Linked DNA regions of Oreochromis niloticus. The protein of the gene in region 1 interacts with the protein of each later gene in a biochemical or structural test. Links are inferred from orthologs where the notes say so. Each region holds a gene or a part of one and is shown on either strand. Other genes may lie near its edges. The genes, in order: lck, ptpn6, ptpn22 and receptor-type tyrosine-protein phosphatase C.

Region 1 (7,086 bases):
GTGCCTAGAACAGATATAACTTATATATACAGTGCTTAGCAAATGCATTAGAGCATGCATTTGAAAATTACCAAATTAATTTTTATACTTCTGAAATCTGGCAACATGTGCAGGCGCTTTAATCAAATTTATATTTTTTAATGAAAATTAAATAAAAATTATAATTAATGTTATCTGTGAATTTTTTACTGAAAAAATAGTAAAGCACATTATTATTATTACTGTTATTGATTAAAATGCCAAATTACAAATTACAGTCATTTACTTGCATTCCTGAACAGAAGCAACAATTTGCCTGATAAAAAACAAAAGAAAATTATTTTTACTTCAAGTTATTTATTTATTTATTTTTATTTTTTTTTACAGATTTCTAAATCATTTGTTAAGCACTGTATGGCAGAAAATGAGGAAATGTTCACACTACTTTACATCACCTCAGAAGTTTTGCTGCCAACCTAAATAGGTCTTGGAACAAAAATGAGATGTTACAATTTAGAAAATGAAATAAAGACAAAACATATTGAAGCTGTTTTCAAGCTTGAATCCATGCAGAAGAAAACGATAAAAACCAAAATGACATATTTCCCCTGTGGCCTGCAGTGCTACTCATGCTACTCATCTCTCTGGACTGGTTTGGGTTGGCTCTGAGTTTCTCACTTTGCCTGGCTTCTCTTGAATATAATGGAATCTAATAGCTCTCCCTAAAATACATTTAAATACCTCAGCAGCAACGTCTCTTCTCTGAAATCATGACTCAAGTTTTATTTTTAATCTACCCTGATCTGCCATGTGAGGACTGCAGTTAAGTAAGGTTAAAGCCTCTTTACTTCTTACATGCCATCATGCTTTTACAAGCATCACGATTAGATACCATTTCTGCACAGCCGTGCACTAACTGCTGATGTTCACATCTGCAGATTTTTATTTATTTATTTTTTAAGTAACTGGGTCACGACTTCTGAAAAGAGTCAAATGTATTTCCATCAAATATATTTTTTGGCCCTTTGAATGTCAAGTAAGATTTAAGCAAAGCCATTAACGACCCCTTCAAAAGGTCATGAGCCAAAAAGTTTGGGAAACACAGGTTTACTGATACTGAAGCATGAAGGCAGCTGCTCCTGTCTGGTCTGGGCCGATAAAGAAATTCTCAGCAACACGTTGAAGTAAACAAAGTCCTTTAATGCAGACACTTACAGCAGCCACAGGCAGGTCACACTCCAGCATTTTTACACCTCTTCTTCACAAACCAAAAATATCTCTGCAACCTAGCCGCTGCAGTGACACAAACCAGGAGCTCGTGTCCGATGCTCTTTGTTTTCCATTAGCACGTCAGGATGCTGCAGAGCCCTGATTTTAGACTATATGTGGCTGGCAAGTGACCAAGTGTATTTTATGTTTTAAATGATTTGCTCTTTAGTTTAGTTTAAAAAAAAGAATGAATGAATTTAACTTTGCTTGCATTAAAAGTGTAAAACATCTATTAAATGTATTATTCTATGCAGATTGTTAAATCAAGTTGTAATGTGAATGTAATGACTTAACTGAATGAATATATAAGAAAAACGCCTTAAAGTGTAAATTTCAAAATCTTTTTCTTTCACACAAAGGACATATTAAAGAGTTTTTTGTCATATTTGAGTCAGTTATAATTACTTTATGATGGGAGACAGCGTTACACCTGCCTGTTCAGAATGGGTGGCAGCTTTCTCAAAAAAACACTCATCTGAGCAACATAAGTGTCTCAGGAAACCACACACAGCGAATAGAGTGAAATAAAAACATTCCCAGCCACCTTTTTCAGAAACAGGTTGAGGTTTCAAGCGTTTAGAGTCATGACATTTTGTAAAAGCTTAAAAGTTTTGGTGAGATATCCCTTTTCTTTTTGCTTTTTTACTGCCTTTCAGAGACCTGTTTGTAAGTAGTTTTGGTTGAAGTTAGAATTAGGGTTAGGCTCAGTTTAAGATCAGGGTTAAACTTATGCTCTGAACTTAGGCTCTGAAATTGAGCTATAAACACAGCAAGGACAGCCAAACAAACAAGCTCTGCTCATCCAAACAACGGCCAGTTCGACCCTGCACTTACTCGGGTGCCCAGAGGTACTCCTGCCATGTTTAAAGGAGCTCGAATGAATGGTTGTTGTGAGATGGGAGGAGCAGACATGAGTATGGATGAACAGAGATATAAATGCTGATGACGGCATGATTTCTGTCGGTGTAAGTGAGGGAAAACATCCCCACATCCATCTCCATCATCCACCCTCGGTCCTAAAGCCACCCAGGCACAACGGTATCTTCTTTCCTCCCAAGAGACAGCCATGACCTGCTGTAACACTCAGACGTATGAAAGGGGCCCTGGAGGGATGTGCAGAAGCAGACATAGTCAAGCTCGACACTAAATATGCCTTGGCAGAGCGCAGACGCCGTGTTAAATGAGAGCGCAACTAGGACTGTTGAAATGATCACAAGTGGCATACTTTAGGAGTTGTGTGATCTCATGTGGGTCGCGGGACCTCAATAGTTAGACACATGGAAATGAGTATCATATGGAAGACACAGAGGATTAAGTACTACTGCTTGAGGCCGCATTCTCGAGTGAATGCTTTCATAATAAAGGGCTGCAGACTTGTGTTTCTCAGGCTGCTCATTCTTTGCCCTGTGGAGATACTTTCCCGTGACCCTTTTTTGCCCGTATCTTTCTGCCTGCCATCAAACCAGCAGAAGAAGATATTACAGTGTAAATAAAGAATAATAATCCATCTGTTTATCGTGAAGCCAAGTAAGCTTACATGATGCACATGAGTAAGCACCAGAGGCAAAAAAAAAAAGCAAAAAAAAGAACCCTCATTTACATTCATGAAAGAGGCCAGCACCTGCATCATGCAGCAGGAGGTAGGAGGCCTGGAAAACTTTCTGCACACTGATAGCATCACAGTTTGATTGCGTAACAGAATGTGATTTCCAACCACATTTGGAAGTAGTGACAACTGTGGTCGAGAGGAAGAAAGGAATACCTTTAAAGCTCCAGGCCTGCACAAAGCTGATCGCCAAACATGGCGGGACACTTTTTCTCCCAGCACGTATCAAAGAAGAGTTCTTGGATGATCAGACTTTATCTTCAGTCACATGCACCTACCTATTTACATCACTCTCAAAATAAAAAAAGAGAAAAGTGAAGCACATTTCACACATCCTCCTAGATTTATACTCTGCACTTTAACGGAAAAAAGAGTGAACTCAGGTGGTTTCATCATGAGTGAGACTTAATCTATGCTGTGGCAGTCTTCTAAGCACATATTTCTGTGCACTTCCTGTAATGTTTGGACTGACTTCCTGCCAGTGCATGCTATGTAGCAGCAGCCGTTCACCACAAGAGAAGAGATGCGGTCCACGGCTAGAGTTGTATGAAATGTCGAAAATGCGACAGCACAGGCTTAGAGGGTGTTAACAGCCAGAGAGGCTTTTTACTTTGTGCCTTCTCTCGAGTAGAAATGTGACCATGATACAGTCTCTGCAAAATAAGAGCTAAAATTATGATTCTATGTTACACAATGTTCTATATAAAGGAGGTGTGGAGCTTGTGACAGGCTTTTTCTCTTTATATTTTCACAGTTTTTAATAGTAAGCTGAGTAAACTAAGACCAAAGGTTAATTTTAAAGCCATTTTTGGCCACAGACAAGAATATCCTCAAACCACATGTCTGACTAAAAAAGAAAACTTTGTAGTGTTGTTGACTTAACACCTGAGGCATAAAACCACGACACAGGAAATGCAACTGTCCCGAGTGCTGCAAGATATTCAAATATCTTTTGAACTGCTCTGGACCAACACCTCAGCTGCACACTGAAGATGTTCTTTACTTTAAAGGTCAGCAACTCACACGTTAAATGCAGACAGCGAGCGACACAAAAGTGCGGCCTACAAAAGCCCCCCGTCTCTAAACTGTTTTGGAAAATTCATGTCTTGTTCCCCTCTTTGGGAAAGGTGCTGTCCTGACCCCTTTACCGTACAGCCCATAACGTTCCCCCTTGCTCTCGCACAGCTGCACAGTAAGCACCTGTTAAAAGCCTGCAGAGCAACCCTCAACCTTTCAACGACAGGAAACTCTCTGGGTTGCTCCCCTCCACAGTGCGCATGTGTGCATGCAGGCACCGCATAAGCGCTCCTGTGATAGTGTTATAATAAGAGAAGCGGATGATGACATCTTCACACCTAAGCTCAAGTGCTGAAAAACTTGCTTGCTGCACTTAAAGAACTCTTTTAAAAAAAGAAGATTTAAATAAGAGTTTCTCAATGGCGGCACCTGAAATCTGACATTATTGGACATTACTGGACGCTTGAGGAGAAGTTTCATATCCAAAGAGGTGAGTTTCACACGTGTGATTCTTCTTACTTTAAGATTATGTCAAAGAAGTAAAGTAAAACTGTGATAAAGATGTAACAGGAAAGGATTTAAATGTCTTTCTTGTCTTAAAGCAAATATTCTACATAAATCTGGGGCTCGTTTTCAAATTTGGACTTTTGTATGAAGTTTACTGAATTTGAAAAATAACAAATGGCAGCAACGCAAAACACTTACATAAATAAACGAATAATGTTCAGCCTGCTGAAATTCATCTTTCACAACAGTAACAAAGCGCATTCAGTTACTGGTTATCTCCTCTGTTGATATAAATCTGCATTACAAGGAAGATGTGACCACAAAAGAGCAAACCGTTTTCTTGTATGAAATAGGAACGCTTCTGTAAATCGACTTTATTAATCTGTCCTTAAATAACATTTTCAAAAAAAAAAGTTGGGGCATTAATGTATTTTGATACAAAGTTGACACTTCCTATACAGGTTTGTCTGTATATGGAAACAATGTCGACAATGACAACTGTTAAAATGGTAAATAAATATAATAGTCTGCTGTTAAAATGGTGTCCCAGCAATTTACATAAAAACTTAAATCAATCGAATATCTGTTCCACTTTATTAAAATCTATTATTTTTTTAAAAAGTGTTTTTTTTTTGTGGTTTGTTTCTTCAAGATTCTGAACTGACGAGTGACTGAAGTCAAAAGTCTTAAAATCTTGGTCGTCACATCATTTCTGGTACACTTAATATGTGAAGTAGCCTTGACTACATTGGAAACAATAACAACAGCCATCAGTATGAGTTTGGAAAAGCCTTCAGATGTCGATGATAAAAAGCAGAGGGTAACCCCTCAGTGGAAAATGCTGACTTGTATTACTCCCCGAGTGTGTGTCAGTAAGTGTAGGAGTGCTGATGATAAAATAAAAACATCTTTATGATCCCTCTGTGATTCCTTTCTTGGGGTCTCGGGGCAGTAGTGGGCTGTTACTGCCGGGTGAGGCCTCTCCAGATTTTTCTCACGGCTTTGAGCCTTTGGGACAGACGGCTGCTGCGATTGGCCCACTGACCTTCTTCCATGAATGGTCTGGTGGGAGCCAAGCGAGCCTGAGAAAGCCGGTTCATACACAGTACCAGTCTAAAACACAACACAGAGCACGAGCAGACGCTGGATTATACCAGATTAACACTGGTACAGTTCTGCAGGGCCTGCTTTACTTTCTCCAGAATGAGAGCAGGTAACGGCCCGATGTGACTGAACATTGAACAGTGCTGAACATTATAGCAAAACTGTGTCAGTTCTGGATGTGATTTTGTTAAACTGACGTAGGGTAGCATTTTAAAAAAAAGTCCCTTCAGGTCTCAGACTCTTATTTCTGAGCCCGATTTACCTCTGAGGCTCCATTTTGAGGCGAGGCCCTCGGTCACATCCGACTGAAGCAGTTTTCGGAAGTAAAAGCTTTTTAGAGCACACAATTTCAAATTTAGCCAAAAAAGATTTACTAATACTGTTTTTCTTTAGATTTTCCAAGAGAATTCAACTTACATAATTTTAAATACTGATTACAATATGTGGTTGTAAAGCGATGTAGGACTCATTCGTTGGTGAATCTTAGATGCCATTTCTTCCACTGCAAAGTTGTTGTTCACATTTTATGACCATCGCATTTTGAAAATAACCACAAGTTTCCGCCGTGCAGAAAAGATGGGCTGCAACTGCAGTTCGGACTATTCAGACAGTGACTGGATCGAGAACTTGGATGAAATCTGCGAACACTGCAACTGTCCCATACCGCCACAATCATGCAACCCAGTAAGTGTTCATTTTGTGTGTAGTATGTGCACATTAGTGTGAGTGTGTTGGTGCACATGAATGAGCGTCCATACATGAAAAGCTTCTGGTTTGTGGTGAGTGTGAATGACCACTTGGGGGACAAACACATAAGCTGTAAACCCACAGTGGATTTTGTGTTGTGTGGATTGTTGTTGATTATGGTCATACGTTTCTGTATAACTTACATAACTGTGAGGGAAGTTTCCTTTTGGTTGTGTAATTAAATGCGGGCGTAACTATCCGTCCAATGTTGTTTGTTTCCTCTCTGAGAATTAGATTTCCCATTAGACTGGAAATGACAGAAATAAAGGAGAAAACCACATGTGTGTGTGGTGTAACTCAGACATTTCACCTGGAAGTTACAAAAAAAAATCAAACCGCTTATGATTTACCGTCACGATCCACGTATAAAACCATAGAACTTCACGGTTTTACAGTGAATGTGACGTGCGATGGTGTCTTGTTTGACCGCACAAATCTTACAAAGTATAAAATGGAAATCTAATCTTGTTTATTTCTTCCCAGTACACAGATCAGCTGATTCCATATCCATCGCAGATGACACCTCCTACATCACCTTTACCAGGTAACAGGTTTTAGAACAAGTACATTTTTCTGCGTCTGTGTGTCTATAAACGTATCCTGATGGAGTTAAATCCATTTTTAATTATTTCGCTTAGTTACACACGACAGCCTCAGTTTAGCACTTCAGACATTTTCCTGGGGGCTAACAGACGCACTGCACGAGTAGAATTTGAAAATAATTGTATACATAATTATGTAATATAATTACAGTTTTTTTATTGTGTTAGTGTCAGTACATCTGGACTTTTCCCTCATGCCATCCCAATATAAATCTTTCCATTTCATTGTTTATGAACACAAAGTTTTCCATTCGG
Region 2 (7,714 bases), on another chromosome or scaffold:
TGCACATAATGACATACGTAATTGCAGCTGCCTAGACATCAATGAACTCACAGTAATTATCCTCCTTCTAATGAAAAGTGTCTCAGTTATAGCAGCAGCAGTCATAGTTGCTCAGTTTTCTCCCACTGTGCCGGCGTTGGGCCAGGGGCTGTTTAACACTAAGACTACTTTTATTAAATGGCATGAAACAATAATGCGACATATTTTATATTTATTTAAAAAAGACATCGTGGAGCTGATGAAGCATGTGAGTCTGGTGAAAACAGTAATGTTTAAAGGTCATTTGAATAGTGAATGAATGATGAAGAAATGTATTTATTTCACAATCCAGTGGTGATGAAATGGTGAAAGTAATGTGTTTTTTTTCTTGTGTTTTGCTTTTGGTGCTCTGGTTTTTGAAATGCTTTCTCTGTATTTTTCAATTCTCTATGTTATTTTGAAAAACTGCACTACAACGATTAGAATAATTGCTTTTTCATGTCTGGGTCATGGTTTTTTGAGTTGTTTGACAGTAGACAACTTCAGCTACACACGCTGTTTAAAAACAAACAGAGGGAGCGTTGGAAATTTTTTAAGGCAGACATATTGGACATTCTTCAGTGCTTTAAAAGTTCCGCTTCAATTGCTTCAATTACCAGAGTACGTTTTCTGACTGAGAAAAGGGCTGTGTAGGTAATGCATTTCAATCTGTAGTAAATATTTGTCCAAAAACTCCATTATATTCCATCATATTTTAACTCATCACCAGTATTGTTTTACTTTACATAAACAGACATTTCCGCCATAAACAAAAATTAGCATCAAGTGCAAAAAACCCCTGCATCCACACTGTACAATTACATTGTTGTCTAGAGGTAAACTGTCTCAAATTCAGGAAAAAGAGCCTTATAAACTCACAAATATGGATTCAGTGCATCTTTAATGGGCCTGGAACGAGATGAGACACTTTTGCCTCCAAGCTTGATTTCACACAGAGCTCAATCTGGGAAATGTGTAAGGTTTATATTTGTCGTTATTTTATGAGTGTTGGTGAAATGTTACAAATGGTACTGAAGGAGAGATACTGTGTAACTCTTGTGCTCCATATTTAATTCAGTTCAATTCCATTTTATTTACACAGCGCCAATTCACAACAGCAGTCGCCTCAAGGCGCTTTATATTGTAAGATAGACCCTACGATAATACATACGGAGAAAAACCCAACAATCGTACGACCCCCTATGAGCCAGCACTTTGGCGAGAGTGGGAAGGAAAAACTTCCTTTTAACAGGAAGATTCCTGTTAAAGTTTTACAAACCCATCCTTACTGTTTTCTGTCCCCTGCTGCTTTTTGGCATGCCACGCTGTTAATTTTAACCAAAAACCAAAATTTGACTGCTCACCCCTGTTATGCCGATTTCTGTGCTGCATTTCTAGTTCTCAAACAGCTCGAGGAACTGCTGAGCGACATGAAGGCCGACGTCACCCGTCTCCCAGCTACCATCGCCAGGATACCCCCCGTGGCCGTGCGGCTACAAATGTCCGAGAGGAATATTCTCAGCCGATTGGCCAGCCGGGGCCCCGAGGTCACCGCTCAGAACCAATCACAGACCGCACAGCAGATGCAGGTGCCGCGCTGACCAATCCCCTCGCACATTTCACACTCCCCAAACGAGGCCAGTCGCACTCACCTCACCGCCATGTAGCAGAATTCCTCCCCCTCAGCCACCATGTACAGCACAGTCAGGTTAGTACTTCTTCCTCTGCACCCACAACCCATCTCCGGACTCAGAAGAGCATCAGCTGTGCTGCTGGACTTTATTTTGAAAAGACTGGGACTGTAGATGTAGGGTGGGAGCGAATGTAAGAATCGGTTCTCTTTCTTTGCGGCAGACTAGATACAGACGTCTTTCTCCTCCACTGGGAATCAGATTGAACCCCTCTGTCCTGAACACTGAACTGACCTGTCCTTCCAGCAGGATCTAACATGTGTGTGTAACTATATGTATAATGAAGCAGAAGAGGCTTAGACCGGAGGGAAAGCAGCATGTTTGGAGTATACTGGTGCTTTGTGGTAACTTTTGGATTATTCCAGACTTCAAGGGATTTTATTGTGCTTGTTTTCACCTTTAGGAAATTGTGAAATTTTTGTTTGTATGTTTTTTTAGAAGTCATTTAACTCTAATGTCCTCATCTGTATGTGTGTATGGAGAGTGAAGGTGTGTGTGTTTTCTTGTATGTATGTGTGTGTTAAACAGGGCATAGTGACATGCATCTCTACTGCAGAATGCCCCGACACTGAGAAGGTGTTACTGTCACTTTTGTATCAGTCAGTCAGTCAGATCTGTTACCTCTTCTTCCGTCCTTCTCAAACTCTTGCCTGATCCGACGGGTGACCCAGTCGGGGATCAACTCTTTGTGCTCACAAACCCAAACAGCACCTTGACATTCCTAACTGCACCACAGATTTGCTTCATGGGAAGTCTCCTGTAATACAAACTCGCAATAGCTCCCCAGCTTTTTAGGTACATGGGATGGCGTTGAGGTTGATGGCAATCTTAAGTTAATTTAATTTCTTACTGTCTATTGTTATGTTGTTTTGCATTATTGAATATTATTATTATGGTTACCACCCTGTTGTTTTTATCATTGCTGTTTGTTTTTATGGACTACAATAAAAAAAACTCAACAGTTTCTTATTGTTACCACGTTTTATTTTTAAACTGATTATATACGTTTGGTTCTCCTTTTTTTCTTGAGCACTGCATTCTTCTACTTCTGTTTCTAGCCATGTGAGCGTTGATACTAAAGGGATGGCAAGTTCTGTGAAGAGTGACAACGCCAAACTCTGCGTGGTTTACTGTTAAAATTTATTTAGACACTAGACACGTTATTCATAGGTTCATTTTTAGTAAAACCAGAGTTGTAGACATGCTACTCGAATCTCAATTTAAACAATCAGTTTAACAAATTTACCCAACAAAGTGGCCACTGACACTATATATATATATATATATATATATACACAGAAAACTCAATTTTCTCTGGTTTTGCTTTTTTGCGTCTCCTTGCAACGACAGTTAGCATGAGGTGATTGTACCTGCAGTTATTTTAGGTTCATCGGTAATCCAGCTTCTCAAGGATGGCACATTTTTGACACATTGTTGCCTCTCCACCTCTGTATCGTGTTCACATTGGTTACGCTTCCTAACAGGACAGATTGATTTCCCTGAAGTTTAACTGACGCCGTGTCGTACTGGGATGATCGAGTGCTTCCTTAATTTTTTGAGCAGTGCCTCAGAAGACGCATCTGCATGGATGATGAATGCCCGGCTGTCATAGAAAATGTAAACATACATATTTCAATTAAACCGTCAGCTAGACACAAACAAAGGTCTTTAACTCACAGCAAAGTATAAAACGATTGATTTACTTAAACCTCGGTGAAATAAATAAAGTAACATTTCATTTATTTCCCGTTTAAAGAGACACAGGTAACACTGAAAATGACCTTAAATTACTTTCTTCAGCCATGTGTTCTTTCTGGGGGGGAAGGGGGCGTGTCCCTGTCCTGTTTGCCAACATGCACGCGCAAGTTGCGTGTACGCGAATGAGACTGCGAGATACCCTCCTGGCTTTTTCCTCTAAGGTCACCATGAGGTTTGTGTCTTTAGTAAAACTAGTTATGAGACAGAAATAAATGAAGTTAAAAAAAAACCAAAAAACACTCCTGAACTGAAACCTGGGGGGAAATGAAAGATGGTGGAAGAGGTGTGACTTCCAGGAGATTTTTTAAACCTTATTTTGAGTTAATATCAGCAAAAAAAGAAAATGATTCAGATAAGTTATATCTTATTTATCAAGTGACCCTTTATATACAGTTTTAGCTTCAAGTTATCATTGAAATACAATCAAAATGTTAGAGAAACTAAAAACAAATGGTCAGTTTCTTCTAGAGGGAATTTTATGCTAAAATTACACGATAATCCATATCGTCAAATGTGCAGAGGCCTTACTACACATCCACTCTTGTTTCTAAGTTAGGTTTCAAGGTGTTCAGGGACCATTTTAAAGGAAGTTGGCCATACATGTTCAGCCGCGCTGTCACGAAGTGGCTCAGATGGTCATAGATTATTATTTTCCTTTTTATTTTTTTATAAAGGGGCGTTAAAAAACTTGCATTAAGGAAGGTTTTTTCTTTAATTTGTAACGTTTGCATGCACAAAAAAAGTGCACGTTCAGAACAGTCTGATACTGTTCTCGCACACAAAACATGCCATAATTTGCATGCAAACCTGGAAAGACAAAGTGGAATTTACATGGAAGCAAATGCAGCGAGGTGGAAAAACCTGAGAGAATTTGTGTATGGAAGAGTTTGTTAGAGGAAGAGCAGAGAAGAAGCGGGGCAGGAACAGGCACATTTTCTTCCACAGATAGAATCCTAATTAAGAAAATTGGAGTAAATTACAGGGCGGGAGGGTTACTGGGCCGGTAATGAAGCCTGATATCTTATCATGAAAGAGAGTGAGCCAGAGAGGAAGGCTAAACTTGAGCGAGACTGGGTGTAAGGAAAAAGGGGATTTAACCTGCGCTCAAAATTCATGAGCTGAATGTTAAAGTAACCTGATTCCCTCTGTGAGTTTTACTCTGATCCGTGGCGGAGGAATATTCATCATCGGGATTTAACCAACCATCACTTCCTCGTACAGACTAAACTAGCCGTAGTGCAAGGGGGGGTGGAGTCCACATAATGTCTTGTGGGTAAGTTTCTTGTGCATATGTGACAAATATTTAATTTTCTTTTCCCGCTGCTGCTTTTAGGTGTTTGCAAAACCTTTTTTTGTAATTGAGCTTCTGTTCTACCTGTTTCTACTGTTGCTACTTTACTTTTTATGCTTTGTCTGTTCTTTTCTGTCTCTTTGAAGACTTTGGAGGATATGCTTAACCCTCAAACCACCAAGCAGTGTTAAATGCTAAAATTACTAACTTTTTTAAAACAATATTTTATACAAGAATGCTTTTTTAAATGGCTTTATTTGTGCTTATTATACCTATACGGCTTCCCTAATCCATGACAGATATTCTGTCCTAATGTAATTAATTATAGTTTTCCATCATTTTTATGAGTATTTGCATAAACAGTAGTTAGTATTCTGCTAGTTCACAGCAGAATAGTAAAATGTGATGATTATAAGTGGAAAATTACAGTAAAGTCAGAGATTACAATGTTTAAAAAATTGCCACACTAATGGATAGATAGAATAGCTCTTTACTGTCATTGTACATGTACAACGGGTGCTCCACACCAACTGTGCAGGAGCAAAAAACAAATATAAATAGTAAAAAAATCAGGAATAAACGGCAAACAGAAGAGATATATACAGCCTAAAGGAATATATACAAAACAAGAGAAAGGCACACAATAGAAAGCAAAGTGCTTGGAAGCAGTGCAAAGGGACATGGTCCTATTAAAAATACAAAAAGCTGTCGGAGAAGTCGACAAATTCATGACAGGTGGCATATTCATGATTAAAAATATCCCAGTGGCACTTTTAAATATACGACTGGAATCATTTGATGGAGTAGATTCTGTCATTTATGACTCCAGTTGTTACAGTGTGGGTGGAAAAGTCTTTTCTGAACATCGTGGTTTGTAGTGCCGTTTTCATATATATGCTATAAACACTTATTTAACCAGTAAGCTTTGGAAACAAAACAAAAAAAGCGAAACAGAGATATGACAGCAGGAAATTATGAGCAGGGAGAACAAAAAAAACACAGTCCGAATCCGAAAAAACAGGTAATAAAGCTCCAAGATCCCCAAGGGGAGTGAAAGTCTGTAGTTTAAGGACAGTTTGGATTTCCTTCAGTCTTTGTGGTGCATTGTAGCTGAAAGCAGATCTGCAAATATCTCGAGTATTCACTGCGTCTTGAATTGTAGTTGCAAGATTTAAATATTGTGCGGTGGCTTTATAACTGAACTCAGGCTTCTGGACTTCACTTTTGCTTGGCTGAAGAAAAGGAGGTCATAATTCAGTGTAGTTCTGAAAGCAGATCTAATGTATTCAAACATTTGCTCACTTTAGTCCCTTACCTGTCACTCATACTTGCATTACTTCTGTATAGAGTTTGCATTTTCCCCCTTAGTCATGCAGGTTTTCTCTACTTTGCATTGAAAAACTCCCTGGGTGCCTTAACCTGCCTGTATGAGTGCATGACACTCTTACAAAAGAGATTCTTTATTTCAAGAGTGTCACTTCCTGGTTAGATAAAGGGTAATAATATGGAAAATAAGCATTGGGTCATTAATCTTGGAAAACATCCAAACATGTCCAAATGGGATTTGCCTTTTGTTTTTAAAGTATTTTTTTTTTTTTTTAGGAAATCAGGTAACAGACATATGGAAATTAGAGTCTACACATTCACTCACCAGATACTTTATTAGCTAAACCTGTCTAATTAATTCTTAATGCAGCAGCTCAGTGCATTAGCTTATATGTAGATGTGGTCAAGATGACCTGCTAAAGTTCAAACTGAGCATCAGAACAAGGAAGACAGGTGATTTAAATGACTTTGAACATGGTTTGGTTGTTGGTATCAGGAAGGCTCATCTGAGTATTTCAGAAACTATTGGATCTATTGTGATTTTCCCACACAACCATCTCTGTGGTGCCTTGTTAATGTCAGAGCTTAGAAGAGAATGGACAGACTGTTTTGAGCTCATAGAAAAGCAACAGTAGGTCAAATAACCACTCATTACAGCCACAGAACAGCATCTCTGAATGCACAACATGCTGAACCTTGAAGCAGATAGGCTACAGCAGCAGCAGAAGGCCACACCCAGTTGTCACTCCTGTCAGCTAAGAACAGGAAACTGAGGCTATGATTTACATGGGCTCACAAAAACCAGACAATGAAATATTAGAAAAACGTCGCCTCATCTGATGAGTCTCTATTCCTGCTGCAAAATTCAGATGATATCGTCAGAATTTGGTGTAAACAGCCCGAGAGCATGGATCCATCGTGCTTTGTATCAACATTTAAAGTGGCTGTTGTGGTGTAATGATGCAGGGATTAATTCTTGGCACACTTTGGACCCTTAATACCAACTGAGCATGAACACCATAGCTTACCTGAGTGTTGTTGCTGACCTTTATGACCAGTGTGCCCGTCTTCTGATGTCGGCTTCCAGCAGGATAATGTGCCATGTCACAAAGCTCACAACTGGTTTCTTGAGCATGACAATGAGTTTTCTGTACTCAAATGGCCTCCACAGTCACCATCTCTCAATCCAATAGAGCACCTTTGGGATGTGTTGGAATGAGAGGTTCACATCATGGATGAGCAGCTGACAAAGCTGCAGCAACTGTGTGATGCTGTCAGATCAATATGGACCAAAATCTCTGAGGAATGTTTCCAGAACCTTGTTGAATCTATGCCACTAAGAATTAAAGCAGCGCTAAAGGCAAAAGCTCAAAGCAATATTTGGTAGGAAATGCAGCCTAAATGCTGCCCGACTGTTCCCCAATCAAAGCGGTGGCATTTAGTTTGAAACATACAAAAAGAGAGAGGAACAACTCTTCACTTTTAGAAACAAAGAAGTTGTGATTGTGAGGCTAAAAGAACAATTTCTGTCACCAATCACTAATATTATCTTAGCTCTTCAGGCCTTTAATGAGCAGAGCAGAAGTGCGTGTACTGTAAATTCCTCTAAACAGAAACAGTTTGATGCATT
Region 3 (7,141 bases), on another chromosome or scaffold:
TAGTATCAGTCAAGACCCAGTAAACTAAATATTTGGACAACTGTATGCTACAGTTCATATACATCACTAATTCAAGGATAATATTGCTTAATTCTACCTTATAGTTTAGTCTGTTTCTAGTGTTGAGCCAGCAGTACTAGAATTTTAATCAACCTGATATGACATATTTTAATGCCCTACAACGCCCAAGTACTGACACATTGTTGTGATACTGATTTCACAATAAGTGGGTGAGGTATTTGCATTTCTTCATAACCTGTAACAGCAATAAATCCTTTATCATATAAAACTTCCAGAGTCCAGAATTTAAGTATAATTAATGTCACTAATGCAAAAACAGCAAAAGTACATGGTAGTCAACGACTGCAAATTTATTTATTTATTTTTATAACCATCAGTCTAATTCATGTGGAAATTCAGGGACCTGAAACACACCTTTTTTTAATCATCTTGGGGTACATTCTTAGTCATCATTAATATTAAAACAATCCTCTTGAATGGCTCTCTTATGACGCTCCATATATCTGTATAGACCTAACATAGGTCTGAGTCAGGAACGCCGCCAAGGAGATATGTCTACTTAGAGGTAAAGAAAAGTTAAATACCTGGTACTCTTCATCAGTTTATAGAAGTGAAGAGGGCCTTAGATAGAAGGTAAAACATCTGAAGTTTGTTTACATTTATTTACACTACCTAAGACAATACCATAAGTCACAAATTAATATTTTCACTACTTAAGAAAATCATAGACCTTTTATTTTCATTGATAGTGATAATCATCATTAGCTGCCTTCTAAAAAGCTTTGTTGGTTTTAATGTCAATATTTTGTATAACTAATGTATACAAAATTGTGTAACTACTATATGAAAAGTTGTACCTGATAAAGCAATCAGCAATCTTAATAAAAACAGTTATTTCAATGGTCTCGTAGACTCTTTTAAACTCTAGTATTTCAAATAAATAACAGACCATTTTGGTAAGCATTGCGTGAGTCATTCTGATAAACAGTCTGATATGTTATGCCCTACCCTCTTCACAAACACTCCCATGTGATCAAAGAACTTTGGTCAAGTATTAAGCCACAAAGCCGCTATCTCAAACGCATTATTCTAACTTCCACAGAACTACCACAGTAAACTTCAGGTCACTGACACGCATGGTAAATTCGCCTGCAATGAATATTTGTCTTCTGGTTGGCATATTTTTTGTATCTTCTTCTTGTGCATTTAACAGTTGTGCAAATGATTATCAGCAAGGCCAGAAAAGAACTCCAACGCAGCAATGTGCACCAAAGTGGCAGTCCTGCCAATGATCTAGAAAAGAAAAGGGGAGGGGGGCAGGTGTTTTGAGACAGCATCTTATGGCGAAATTTCAACAAATTTAAATTCTCTTTTCAGCCTTTAGTGATTCTTCCATAGAGAAAAAAGTAGGATAATGACTAACCTGATGAAAAAAAATCCTTGAGTGGTTTCATTCAGTTGTAAAGACTGATTTCCTGTGTTATCACTGTTGTTCATAATAACTAGGCAGGAGGTCAGAGTTGGTGTTGTGACTGTGGTTGTGCTCATTCTGTCTGCACAGTCATAAATTGGTTGACCTGGTAATGAAAAAAAAATTACAATGATAGTGCTTTATGGACCTTGAGGATGAAGCTTTTACAGCATTGTAAAAACAAGAGAGAAGAAAACAGACGTTGTTGTTTAGAGTATTTCATGGTAACTTTAAACTCTTTCTTTTATGTTTATTGTGTTTTTATGCTTTGAATATAATACTAATAACCTGATTTTTGTTAATAAAAAAATAGAATAACCCTAAGGAAAATTTGTACATAAAGGGTTTGTACATACTGTCATATCTGTTATAACCTCTAGGAGTCACTGAAGTCAAAACTTACACACGATGCCTTTAATCCTTTCTTCCAAGCTATAGTTTACTATACTACACACACACACAGGCATGCACGCATGCATGCACACGTTGCATAAAAACAATTATTAAATGTTATTTTAATTTTATCATAAATGTATGGCTTTACAGTGTCACAAACACGCAAATAGTCTATTTTTGCCACTAATATATGAGGGTATGATTATTGTAATCTTTTCGTCTTTCATATAACAATTTTAAGAACTAGGCTATTAAACTTAAACTAAATAGTTTTAAATAAATAATTAATGTCTTAATGTGAAAAAATCTCATTCTAAATTAAAAAACACACAAACTAAAAAATGATCACAAAGGGAACAGAACCACATCAGTGCTAAAACATTACACCAGAACACTTGCCATGTTTTAAAATGAAATAAAATAATTTATTTGTTGCTTTAGTCATTGCATATTGTCACTAAATATAAATGGTTGCTATATAAATGCTGCATGTTTTACCTTTTTTGCAACTGTTCTAAAAGCATTTTGTTAATCAGTAAATCACTGTAAAGACAGTTCTCACATTTATATTTGCACAATGGAATATCACATTTGTTCTTACCCTGAATATTAACAACATAAATACAGCTGCTGTCTGCAGGCATCAGAACCTGCACAGAGATGAGCTCACTCTTCTCACTGCTTATGTCATTACTGCCAATACAGAAATAACTACAGTCCTTTTGAACAGTGCCACAGTGAAGGTACAAGTCTGAAGCTTTATGAAGCAGGAAGTCCTTGCTGTCAATGTGCTGATACCAGGCATAACGAACACCAGTGCCCTTTGCACAATCACAGCGTAAGGTAACTGACTTCCCCCAACATGTTGGCCTGTCCACCAGAGAGCTCAGGGGCCAAAGTCGGGGCTTGGACACTGGAACTGGCACAAAAAAAGCAATGTCAGTCCAGTCAGCTTAATACCAAACAAAGGCTGCGATGCTGCATATTTCACGGTTATTGTAAAATAATGTTTATTTTCTAAGTTGCATAGGGTCTTTTATTCTTACCTTCAGTGATAATCACTTTGACTTGGATCATAATGTCAGCATATATCTTATCAATCCCAACCCAGTACGCTCCAGCATCATCAAATCGGAGATTTGTGACTTTCACAAACAGCCCCCTTCTGTTTAAATCTATCACTTGGGACCTGTGTGTGTTTCGACTGTTTTCTGAGTCTGCCACAATCTCACAATTGCCTCTGGAGGGCCCTCTGCACCAATACTTTTTGCTGTACAGAAAATTATTTATGCTATACTTGCATTTAAGGATAAATTCACCTCCAACATGGGCTGTGATCTCTCTTTTATCACATTCAAGTTGAAGACTTGCTGAAATACAAGGCAGACAGAAAGAAAATGCTTGTAGTCTGGAAAATCATAAAAATGTTATTATTATTATTCAAATTTTGATTGTCAGATATCAAAAATGCTAGAATAATTGTCATTCAAAGCCCGAAAAAAAAACCTACAAGCAAAAAAAAACACCTCATAAGTACGTGAGAGCTGGGGGTAGGTGTCAAACATCCTGTGCGCATTTACAACACTTCTGTTTCATTTAACAGTAAGTAAAAAGCACAAAAAAACCAAAAAAAACCCCCATATATTTCATACAACCTTTCAAGAAAAGGTGTTTCCCAAAAAATAGTTTACATGTTAATTAAATTTAAGGTTTAAAGAAAAAAAAACATGTTAATTTAAACATGTTTTCTTCTTAAATAAATATTTCAATAAGGAGTAAATTAAAGCATTTTTTATAGGCTTGTATGTTTTAATTATAATTTCAAATCTTAAACAATTCTAGGATATGAAAGTGAAACAGTATTTTTTTCACATACCAATGTTCTAACTTTTAATAGTAAGTTTACTGTGACTGAAAAATATTAATAAGAAATCAGAGTTTTTATTTATGATGCTAGAATAAGCAGTGATTTTACAGTTTAAAGTCACAGAGAAGAAGTGGAAAAAAAATATTTACAAAAATAGAGCTTGTAGAGAGAGAAAATAAACAATGATGATTAAGGTGCTGAAAGATTTTAACTTTGATAGAAGGTTTAAATTATAGCTCACTAACCTTGAAAAAGCAAAACCAGGTACAATATCTTCATACTGGTGTCAGGTTTGTTGCTTGGAATCAACTATAATCGACAATCAGGAAACTGTAGAGGTGGACTGTGGTGATCTTAGCTTCCTGTAGGTGCATTGTGGGTTACATAAATGCCTTTGCGTCTATGCTAGGCCTTGAACACGAGTGTAACATGCAGCACCACTAACTAGTGGCAGTGAAGTGAAAGAGTGGGAACCCTCCCCACATAAGAGCTGTACTTCACTTTATCTGGTAAGAAATTCCCATTTGTTTAATCTAGTTAGTCATAGTTTATCCGACACTGATTTTGGTTATTACGGGCACCATGATATACATTTGCACAGCAGATGCTTAATTCTTTATGACTGGAAAAAACATGGCAAAAATCTTCGTTTAACCTTATGTTATTCGCTAGTCTGTCTTGGATGCTTTGATATTATCCAGTGATATTTTTCCGACTTTTACTGTAAACCGGTGACTAATGTAACATTTAGTTGAGCGTCAGAATGTCTCCGTTAGTTTACTACAAAGCCACTAGATGTCACTATTCTACTGATGTGGCGCTCAGCACCTGCTTAATGTTGCAATGTCCTGTCAGAACTTCTCAATGATGCCACCACCCCTGACAAAAACATTAATTGAAGGTTGACTGACAAAAGAGGCTACATCCACGCCCGTGAGCACTTTGGTAAGTAATGTATTTTTTCATCTGCATTTTTTAAGCCACACTCTTTTCAACGCTGAGCTTTTATGTATATTTAAGAAAGGGAAGTCTTTTACGGGTGAGTTATTGCCCGTGGTTCCTGAAAACATAGCTCCTCCCACTACTCTTTTTGTGCACACATTGTGAATTTAAAAGTATTGTTGCTTAACTACTAAACAAATTGCATGAATTTATACTAGCTGAGATTCACAAGATTTTTTTTATCATCCTGTCTCACTTCAATTACAAAAATGTCTACTGTACAGTAAAGTAGGTACATGAAGACTTCCCAAAGCTCTGAGTGGATTACTGCTGAGCAACTAAGGGTGATTATCTCTGACACTTGCGCTCCCTCTTTCTTCTGCCTTAGGCTCTATCCCTACATGCGTTTCTCCTCCACTTGGCTTGTGTATTTAAAATATTGTACAACTGGCTAGACTGTCTGCACTACACTCTAATTTTGATTAAGATGACCTGTTTTGACTGTTTATGTGCATAAATATATGTTTGTTTTCCCCTGCCATCCCATTTGCAACATATTTATGCAATAGAACACCCGGGTGACTTTAGGACCCTGTGAGAGAAACCCACAGGGGGCGCGGCAATATTTTTAATCTGACCACAGAACCTGTTAGCTTCCTCTTACATTCTGTAAGACAGTTCAGAAGTTCCCTTACACCAGTTCCTTCATGTGAGAGCTACAATACAGAAGTGCTCTGTAGCGGAGCAACGCAACTGCCTCAGTCCTGTCCCCAAGCTTAGCAAGCCTATCCATGACCTGTGGACAAGGACCTTTGTGCCATGACATGTCTATGAGAACTGCCCTATCTCAGACAGTGAACATCCAGCCATGGACCAGCAGGTCAGGATTCTGAGAAGCTTCCTGGATGACCTGGAAAGACAGGAGGCTGCGGCTGAGGAGGCATCTAACGGCATTGCTGGGGAGTTTGTGGTGAGTTAACCGTAATGTTCCTCTTGTTGAAGTACAGCTAAAAATTCTCAACCCAGAAGACATATTGTATTTCTCGATGGTTTTTACAGTCACACGCTAAAAAAAAGTTGTATTTTTATATTGACAGTAAGCACGTCGAAACTGAAAGTTCTTAGTCTTCCCGATTTTTAGGTTTTTTACAAAAGACATCACACTGAGGGAAGTACCACACTGGTATTTTTCGGAGGGTTCCAACGCCATTTTTATTCTTCCTCTTTGTATTGATGCTTGTCACTAAAGGCACAACAAGGAAGAAGTGTAAGCAAAAGTCCTGTAACACTTAACGATTGACGACTAGCAGCAACAACAACCACGCACGCACGCACACACACACACACACACACACACAGACAAACACACTCACACAAACATACTAACTTGTGCCTGAGAAGTGTTAACCCCAGGGTGACATCATCTGTGGGCTGCTGCCATGGTGATGAGTGACATGGCGGTGCCTGAAGACAGCACTGTGTGCTTCACATGCTGCCCCTCTGCTGTCATATTGCTGCCACCCCAACCACTCCAGAGGAAAGAGTCCATTGCATCACTTCCTCTGAGGACAAAAAGCACTTTGTAGTGTTAGAGAAGTGCAGATGTATTTCAAGTCCTTTAGCAGACTCTTTTAGATCTGCCTCAAACGGCCTCAGAACAAAAAGACCAATGTCTCAACAAGTCCTGCAAGCACAAACGTGAGTTTAACTTGAGAGTCCGAGCTTCCGCTTAGGTGATTTAGAATCGAGGTCCTCTCAGTTTGTCAGCCATCATGTCAGTTTGAAGTCAAATGAGTCACAGATTCTTCGTCTGAGGCTGAATCACATAAAAACTGACCACATGTGACAATGTGCAATTGGTCACATATAATTTGCTGGTTATATGCCCCACTTTTTACTCACTGTCTTGTATCAGTTGCTTATGACCTTAAGACATCTGCAATATGAAAGAGCTTTTCCAGTAAATGCGCAGAAAACACTACCATGAAACTCATATTACCCATCTGCTGTTTTGGCTAATTAAATAGAATTTAGATGCATTTACATGATACTTGTATCTCAATATAAGCTTGGAGGATGTTTCAGTATGACACATTAGCAAAACATGACAAAAATAGCTTTCTGGCATTTAGATGGCTTCTAGGAACTATGATGAATGCAGTGCATTTAAATTTCTTTTTGTGTTTTTCAGAGGTTGAAAAGTCAGTCAACAAAGTACCGAACGGACAAGACGTATCCTAGCAAAACAGCAGAAAAGCAGGAAAACATCAAGAAGAACCGATACAAGGACATTCTGCCCTGTAAGCTTGTCTAAATGTATAAAAATGCAACAGTTTTACAGTTTACTGCATTAACACTGTAAAGGAATACTTCTAGATTAGTTTTAAAGTATATTATTACCTATAGTGTTGTGCTAATGACCAAAAAACAATATAAACAGTATA
Region 4 (7,766 bases), on another chromosome or scaffold:
TGGTTATCTGTCTACTTTCTGCAAAGCTCTTACAGCACTTTAAACGTTGTTACATCAGGCATATTTATCTACTTTGGTCAGTGTGCTCCTTGCACACATCTGCGATCAGTACAACTGAAGGTGCGAATGCAAGACCAGCTGACCTGAGAGATCATGATCAAGCTGGAAATTCATGGTTTATTACCAAGAAGTACCCTTTGAGGTAATAATAGAAGATGTGGATGCATTAAAGAAAATCCCTACTGGTACATCACCGAGACTAATCAGCTGATCTACACCATGGCAGCAATAATCACTGAGATGCTTGGCTACAAGGTCAACAGCCACAAGGAGCAATACCCTCCATGGAGAAGGAGAGGCCAAGATCAAGGCAGTGTGGAGGGAAGTTAGCAACTACAGGAGCTGTAGATAGGTGGAATGAAGAAAGGGAAAGAACAATACTCAGAGACTTGTGGCTCTAACAGCAGACCACAGGAATCTCCAGTAACCATCACAGTGGCAGACATCCAAGAAAGGGTCTCCAGTATGAAGAGTTGGACAGCACCAGGCCCTGACATGGTTCACGCCTACTGGCTGAAGAAGCTGACTGCACTCCACAAGAGTCTGCCAGCACAAATGAACCAGCTGCTAAATGATGAGAGACACCCAAAATGTCTAACTGAAGTCCTGATCTCCAAGGATCCCCAGAAGGGACCAGTCTCATCCAACTACAGGCCAATAACCTGCCTCAGTACCACATGGAAGCGCCTGTCAGGCATCATACGGGCTAAGATGAAGGGGCACATGGCTCAATATATGAACAGGGCACAGAAAGGGATGGGCAGGAACACCAGTGGATTGCCTGGAATGACTATAAGAAAGCCTGTGACTCGATGCCCCACACATGGATCCTGGAATGCCTAGAACTGTACAAGATCAACAAGACCCTAAGGGCCTTCATCAGAAATTCAGAGGGGATGTGGTGAACAAAACTGTAGGCCAACTGCAAGCCAATAGCACAAGTCACCATCAAGTATGGGATTTACCAAGGAGATGCTCTGCAACCAGTCCTGAGGGGGTCAGCTAACTGGCAAGAACAAGATTTGGGCAATCAGCACCTACGCCCTGCCGGTGATCAGATACCCTGCTGGGATAATAAGCTGGGTGAAGGAGGAGATAGAAGCCACTGACATCAAGACCAGGAAGCTCCTGACCATGCATGGAGGGTTTCACCACAAATCAAGCACACTGAGACTGCACACTTGGCGGAAGGTAGGAGGCTGGGGACTAGTGAGAGGCACTAATCTTGGCAGCACAGGAACAAGCTCTGAGTGCAAGATTCATAGAGGCTGGGGTCTATCACACCAGGCGAGACCAGCCAGGCTGTGTAAAGATGCCCCTCAGGCAATCTTACACATTACAGCAGGGTGCAAGATGCTTGCAGGCAACATCTGTGCCAAGTATGGCCTGGAAGTCCTGAGGTCAAAATAGGACACGCCCCCTACAGTGGTTGAGAATGACCGAACTAAGATCCTGTGATAAATGAGCAAAAGCAACATCAGATGAAAGGAAAAAGAGAAGCTTGAAGTACAAAGGGCTGAGAGAGGAGTTCAAGAAGACGTCGCCAATGAAGGCTGAGCGAGTAGCTTTAGCAGATCCCAGAAACAAAACCAAAGATCTCTGTCCAAAAGATCGCGTCCAAGGAACAGCAAAGATACTGCGCAGGACCTTCAAGCGCCAGGTGTCCGGTAGAGGACCTGAGCTTGGAGGATAAGACCACCCCATAGGGCACGTTGGGAAATTTTATATGTGTGTGTGGTCAAAAAATAAAAGGAGCACTTTGAAAACACATCAGATTTCAATGGGAAATAAACATCCTGTTGGATATATATGCTGATGTGGATCTGTGTGGAACCATTTGATGTAACGACATCCTGAAAATGTAAAATGAAAAAAGAAAAAAGTCAGTTTTGCTGAAAATGTCATTAAAGCAACTCAAAATGGTACCGAGTACATGGGTTTTTAATGCTGTGTGTGCTGTGTTACGAGTGACCATTAGTGACTTTGGTTTTGCTTAGTTTTTTTTTAACTGCCAGAGTTTGCTACTTGGTGTCAGACAGCTCTCACACCAAACCTAAATGTGAGTGCATGAATGCACTTTCACCTGTTAGAGCTGACGGGACAAAGAACTGAGAGTTGAAATAAAGTTACAGGAACATATTTTAAGAATTTACAATGAAGTCCTGTGATTTTGTTCATTTCTCCGCAGGCCCTGTTTTCTTTCTCTGGTAAAGACAAAAAACAAAACAAGTTTGAGTTTTGCAAATTAATTAAGCCTTTCCTTCATTTCTGATGACGAGTTAATGGTTTTATGGTTTTCACAGTGCAGTGTGAAGCTAGTGGGGTTTTTTAATTTAAAATATTTTAACTTGCAGAAAAACATCTTTGTCTTTATTTGCATTGCCTGGTGCAAGTTCATGTTAGTGTGGCTCCTTTCACCAGTACTGAGCTTGACAAACTCGTGTCTCTGGACTTCAGCTGCAGCTGCTCCCTCGTTACACTCTGCTGCTGTGATGACCCTCTGACATACTAATGTCTGAACTTGTCCATCCTTTTCACTCACAATGAAAATATTAATATCTTCAGCGTTGCCCCCCTCCTCCTCCTCCTCCTCCTCTTCTCTCCAGTGCATACCTCCAACCTTCCAGGCTCTTTTCCACCTGCCTCAGTGGCAGCTGTTGCTGACTTGTTAACCCTGATTAAAACATATGTTTGTTATGTAACATTTATGTCACATTAAAAATGCTTTGGGCCTTCCTGTTGTGGACACTGAAGGTCAGGAGGCTGTAATTCTTTGGACTGTTCAGCTGTTCTATTATTAAAACCACTGTAGTAAGAAAACCATGTTACATGTAACCATGTCACTAGTTGGTCAATAGATGGTAAAGGTAGCCAATCGACTTCTTCTTTTTCTTTTCATAATGATAACAATCTAACTTTGATACAATATTCAATAAACCCAAGTTTTCAGTGGTTCCTCAGGAGGAACTGTTCACTTTTTAAACGACAAAACTTTGTAGTTTCTTACAAAAATTAATACACTGCACATACTTTAAAGATCATATTTAAAATATATCTTGTGATAAAATAATTGAATCCGATTTTACGATCATTTCGTTCTGAAAGGCTCGAGTGCTGACAGCATTTTACAGCATTTAAATGTGATTAAACATGAGGCGATTTTCTTTCTTCTTATTTTTCTGTCTGGCGGGGGAGGGGGGAGCGTACAGGCGAACACGAGCAGCATTCAGAGGTTTCATCGTGCTACATTATGTTCTTCATTTCTAAATACAGTGTGTATCTAATGAATGACATGCGGTTACACTGGTTAAATATCTGTGTAGCTACTAACAGCAACACTGCGCTCCTCGTACAGTCTTGCAGTAACACATTTTATTTGTACCAACAGCTTCATTTTGATTACATGAACATTGGGCTGTTTGCTTAAGAGTCACTTCCTGATTACAAGAATCTGCACTGTGAGAAGTGGAAATAGCCAAATGCATGTGTTTCATTTGTCTAGGAGGAAATCCATATTTAGATTTTCTACAAAAAGCTGATGTCTTTGTCGGAAACAATGTTTCTGCTGGGTTTGTACATTCAAACTAATTTCCACAGAATGTTTCAGAGTGAAAGAAAGAAGAAACTTTCTCTTCTTCAAAATGAATGAAAACATCAAGGAGGTCATGTGACTATGACTACTGCTCTTTTTTAAATAGACTATATATAACTGTGTGATTCATATCAGCTTGTCACGCCATGCAAAGTGTGCTGTGTAAGTTTAAGTTTAAGTAAAAGCTTATATCAGCTCAGTACGACCGTCCCAGCTCACAGAAGGCTCTGCTTAGTTCCCTGTATTATTTCATATAAGAGCATGAAAAGCTGACTGTGTTTCATCCATTTTTACATCAGCTCACCCCCCCAGTGTGTGAGTCTCACCCCCCCCAGTGTGTGAGTCTCACTCCCCGGAGAGTTTTTGACTCCTCTCCTTCCTCTTTTATCCCCTATTTTCTTCTGTATGTAAACAGAAATAAAGCATTTTTGGGCTCCGAGGCAAAGCGTGGTGATCAAACACCACGATCAATGACTTTGAAGAGATCTAACGCCTCTTATAAATGTCGTTCACGTGAGATGAACTGAAGCAATGAAGAAATTCATTTCTGGAGCCAATGGCCGCGTGTTTTCTCTCTTTAGAAGGAGAGAAGAAGAAAAAAGAGAACAGAGTATAACAAAGGAAAGACTGCCTCTGGTTTCTTGCACGTTGCAGTGTTAACTTCTTGTTAGCTTTGACTGCACGGACGAGCAGTCGTGGGCCTGCAGGGGAGGAGTCAGTGAAAAAGACGAGATGCTCTAAGAAGTTTCACAACTCTGTGTCTCGCGTCTCACAAGCAAAATTGTTGAAGTTTAACATGAACAAAACAGAAATTACTCAGGCCTAAAACTTTAACCTGGAGGCTTCACGGTGCTCTCATCAGTCTCATCTTCCATTTGTGTGCTTCATGTTATTTGAGCTAAACCCTAATATGTCAGACGCAACCCTTAAACTGAAATCTTGACCGTATTGGTAGCCATCAGCCTCCTTTTTCAAAGGTCAGAGCGATTTCACCCTTGAGCAAATTCAAGTGAACATTAGACGAGCGACGGCTTCCTGTTCTTAGTGGCGTAGTTGAAATGATGCTTCCTGTCAGCAGACGTTAAGGTAAAGGCAGTCTCTTAAGTGTGACATCACCGCCACTCGCTTGACTCGAAACCAAAGGCGAGGTTTAGAGTTTGGGGAACAAGTCCAGGAAGCTGTGTCAACCGATAAGACAGAGAACTTATGTAGCTTTAACAAAGACAGCTTTTTCTATGTTAGCTTTGAATTGAGGTAAGAGTTGGAAATACGTTTTGGCGTGCGACGATCTGCCGGCTGGTTTCACTGCACGGTGTGTGGCTGTACACACCCTGACTCCTGGACATGGCAGGTCTTTGGGGTCTGAAGGTCCTGCTGTTCTGGGCCGGGATCATCGGTTTGACCTACTGTAAGTAACCATCTGCAGTGTTCTCGGTGCTGCTTTCTTTAAGGATTGTACAAAGACTTTGAAATGTCTCTTTGTATCTGTAAACTGAGGAGAAATAACAAAAAAAACGTCTGCAAATGCAAATCATGTAGGTGATGAAGTCTCCCCCCCTAAACTCGCTGTGTTTGAAGTCGGATGTTGAGCTTGTGATCGTGTATGAGGATTATTATCCATTTGTGAGATGGAGACATGAATCTGTCAGCTGAAAAGCTTTTTTAGTTTTTGAAAACTGTAAAACATCATCAAGCAAAATGTGACATTTTAAATAAAAAACGGAGGGCAGAGGCTACGCTGTAGCACGCTTTGGAGATGCATCCGCGTTTGTGCTGCTTCACGTTTCTTAAACTTTCCAACCCCAAGAACAGCAGACAGGAACTGCACACACTTGTGATGTGAAAGCTTAAAAAATGACAGGTTTCTGAGCCGTTTGGCAGAAGAATGAACTCTTATGTTCAATCAAAGGCGGCTGTTAATAAGAAGAATGTGCTCTTTAAAACATTTTCCTTTATTTGGTTCTTTGGGAATTTTTGCAATCGTGTTTCTGTTCTGCTTTGATACCGTGCACGTATGAATGTGTGATTGTATACTGTATATGTGTAACTGTGGGTTAGTGGGGGGAGGTGGGGGGCTGTGTCTGTCTGAAAGGAGAGAAATTTTCTGGGGTGTGTCCCTGCAAGCTGCTTCTTAACCTCGGTGGCTGTGGGTGCTGTATGTGATAAACATTTCAGTGTGTGTGTGCGTGCACATTTGCGTGCATGTGTGTGCACGCTAAGTTACACTGACCTCACTGCCTCCAGCATCACTCATTATTCTGCTATAACTCTGCTGTTTTCAGCCAGTCTGTGCTGATGAGCTGAAATAAAATCTGTCATTTATTTCCCTCCATCGTCTTTGCCCTCAGTCTGAGTCAGTGTTCCTCATTTGTTTCTAACATACAGAATTTCTCAGCCAGTGTGAAGGTGTGTCATCATCGCTCCCCAAAACATGATTGTTGTTTTCCTTTCAGTCATATTGACATGGATTTTAACTGATCAGCCGTTATTTAAAAAAATAAATACATAAAAATATCCAAAAATAAAATTTCTAAATTTTCTGTTTAGTGATGTATCTCATATTAATTACTGTACTTTATGCCCATCATCCAGTAAATCTCACGTTGAAATATTATTATTCTAATTCCACTGAAAACTCACAGTTATTATTAAACAAACATTGTTTTACAATTTAACTGAATTTTACATGAAACTGTATCCAACACTAAACACGTAACACTGTGTTTAAATATTTACTTTCATAAATACTGATATACTTTTATTTACTTACATGATTAGAATAGATTAGAAAACAATAATTACGTTTAAAGAATCTGAATTCACTTTAATAACATTTGATTTTATCCTTTATTATTTATCTTTGGTAAGTTATACATATAACCAATATGTAATAGTTACAGACAAAATGTTAGGAACACCAATGAGTAACATCCACGTTTTTTAATCAGTAAAGTTAAATTTGATTGTGCCATTGTTAATCTGTCTAATGTCTCTCTAAGATGAAAGTCAAATGTGGAAAAGATGTGGATTAAAATAAAAACATGCTCTCAGTGTATGATTGTATTTTAATATTGATCACATTTAAAAATAGTTTAAAACTTAGTTCAATTTGCTCATCTTTTTCTATATTTTTCTGCTTTTTTTCACTACTTTTAAAGAATTACTACATGTGTGTGTCAGCTCACTAGTAAATGCCAAAGTTCACGTGTCTTTTGCTTAAACTGGGCGAGAGAAGCTGGGCCCTGTTTAACAGGCCGCCTGCATTAGCAGCAGCAAGACGGCGTTGTGTGATCAAAACGTTTGACCACTTCCGTGTTTCATTCTGAGTCGTCTTCATTTCCTGGCAGCGCAGCGCGGGCCGAGCAGACCGAGGCACCGCGCAGCAAATGACTTGAGAAAAAAAAGGGGAAGCACAGGGTCTAAAATGAAGAAGTGAGGTCAGAAATGTTAAGCATGATTTTAAAGTTTCTGGGAGGAGGAGAGTGTCACACAGCAGGACTCTGTGGTGAATGCAAAACATGAGAAGGAGGAAAAAACAGAGAAAATCAATGAATTAGAGAAAGAACTGGTTACTGTGTCAGTGTCTTTACTGCATTCAGGGATAATCACATTATTGTATTTATGATTGTCATAATACTATGATACTGTCGTGCAAATCACAAACCTACTTTCCTGAAAACAATTAAAACCAGTTTAAATAACGACTTTAAATAGTGAAAAACAGGTTTTCTTTATTTTTACGTTCCTGGGCTTCAAACACATCATACTGACATAGTTATGATATAAATAAAGATTCAGTAAACCTTCACTAAACCTGTTGCAGTCATCTCCAAACTAATAATCGATGAGCTGCATTTGTGCGAGGCGCTGAAATGTCGCTGCAAACATGTTGCATCTCTGCACGATTCAGTGAAACAACAACGCGCCAAACCACATCCTGAGTCTCATTGTTTGACTGTCCCCAATCACCCAATCATTCAATTCTCATTTCTATTGTTATAAAGAACAAATCGACAACATCAATAAACCCATTCAAAGTAAACTAACTCCTGTACTTGTGGATATGTTTCAAATTTATTTTTTTATTTTTTAATTCTTTGTAATATCGAAAATA

The links.
Region 2: of the proteins of lck (region 1) and ptpn6, one has a biochemical effect on the other in vitro, tested with the Homo sapiens proteins (4 studies listed by BioGRID and IntAct, with this or other methods). The link is inferred for Oreochromis niloticus from reciprocal best matches to the Homo sapiens genes LCK and PTPN6.
Region 3: of the proteins of lck (region 1) and ptpn22, one has a biochemical effect on the other in vitro, tested with the Homo sapiens proteins (3 studies listed by IntAct, with this or other methods). The link is inferred for Oreochromis niloticus from reciprocal best matches to the Homo sapiens genes LCK and PTPN22.
Region 4: of the proteins of lck (region 1) and receptor-type tyrosine-protein phosphatase C, one has a biochemical effect on the other in vitro, tested with the Homo sapiens proteins (5 studies listed by BioGRID and IntAct, with this or other methods). The link is inferred for Oreochromis niloticus from reciprocal best matches to the Homo sapiens genes LCK and PTPRC.

The regions. Positions count from the first base shown.
Region 1 is NC_031983.2:27,529,539-27,536,624, forward strand, and holds the start of lck (tyrosine-protein kinase Lck), read left to right. Parts: upstream 1-4,080; 5' UTR 4,081-4,361; intron 4,362-6,053; 5' UTR 6,054-6,058; coding exon 6,059-6,166; intron 6,167-6,712; coding exon 6,713-6,773; intron 6,774-7,086. UniProt on the Homo sapiens protein: Non-receptor tyrosine-protein kinase that plays an essential role in the selection and maturation of developing T-cells in the thymus and in the function of mature T-cells. Plays a key role in T-cell antigen receptor (TCR)-linked signal transduction pathways.
Region 2 is NC_031976.2:23,272,486-23,280,199, reverse strand, and holds the start of ptpn6 (tyrosine-protein phosphatase non-receptor type 6), read left to right. Parts: upstream 1-4,714; 5' UTR 4,715-4,729; coding exon 4,730-4,740; intron 4,741-7,714. Other genes in the region: chd4b (chromodomain-helicase-DNA-binding protein 4), read left to right, coding at 1,417-1,619. UniProt on the Homo sapiens protein: Tyrosine phosphatase enzyme that plays important roles in controlling immune signaling pathways and fundamental physiological processes such as hematopoiesis.
Region 3 is NC_031984.2:8,838,375-8,845,515, reverse strand, and holds the start of ptpn22 (tyrosine-protein phosphatase non-receptor type 22), read left to right. Parts: upstream 1-4,135; 5' UTR 4,136-4,264; intron 4,265-4,610; 5' UTR 4,611-4,700; intron 4,701-5,022; exon of another isoform or gene 5,023-5,041; intron 5,042-5,085; exon of another isoform or gene 5,086-5,548; 5' UTR 5,549-5,565; coding exon 5,566-5,667; intron 5,668-6,888; coding exon 6,889-6,997; intron 6,998-7,141. Other genes in the region: uncharacterized protein LOC102083214, read right to left, coding at 1,146-1,314, 1,445-1,598, 2,490-2,807, 2,935-3,258, 4,001-4,034. UniProt on the Homo sapiens protein: Acts as a negative regulator of T-cell receptor (TCR) signaling by direct dephosphorylation of the Src family kinases LCK and FYN, ITAMs of the TCRz/CD3 complex, as well as ZAP70, VAV, VCP and other key signaling molecules.
Region 4 is NC_031981.2:1,863,486-1,871,251, forward strand, and holds the start of receptor-type tyrosine-protein phosphatase C, read left to right. Parts: upstream 1-4,760; 5' UTR 4,761-4,996; coding exon 4,997-5,060; intron 5,061-7,766. UniProt on the Homo sapiens protein: Protein tyrosine-protein phosphatase required for T-cell activation through the antigen receptor. Acts as a positive regulator of T-cell coactivation upon binding to DPP4.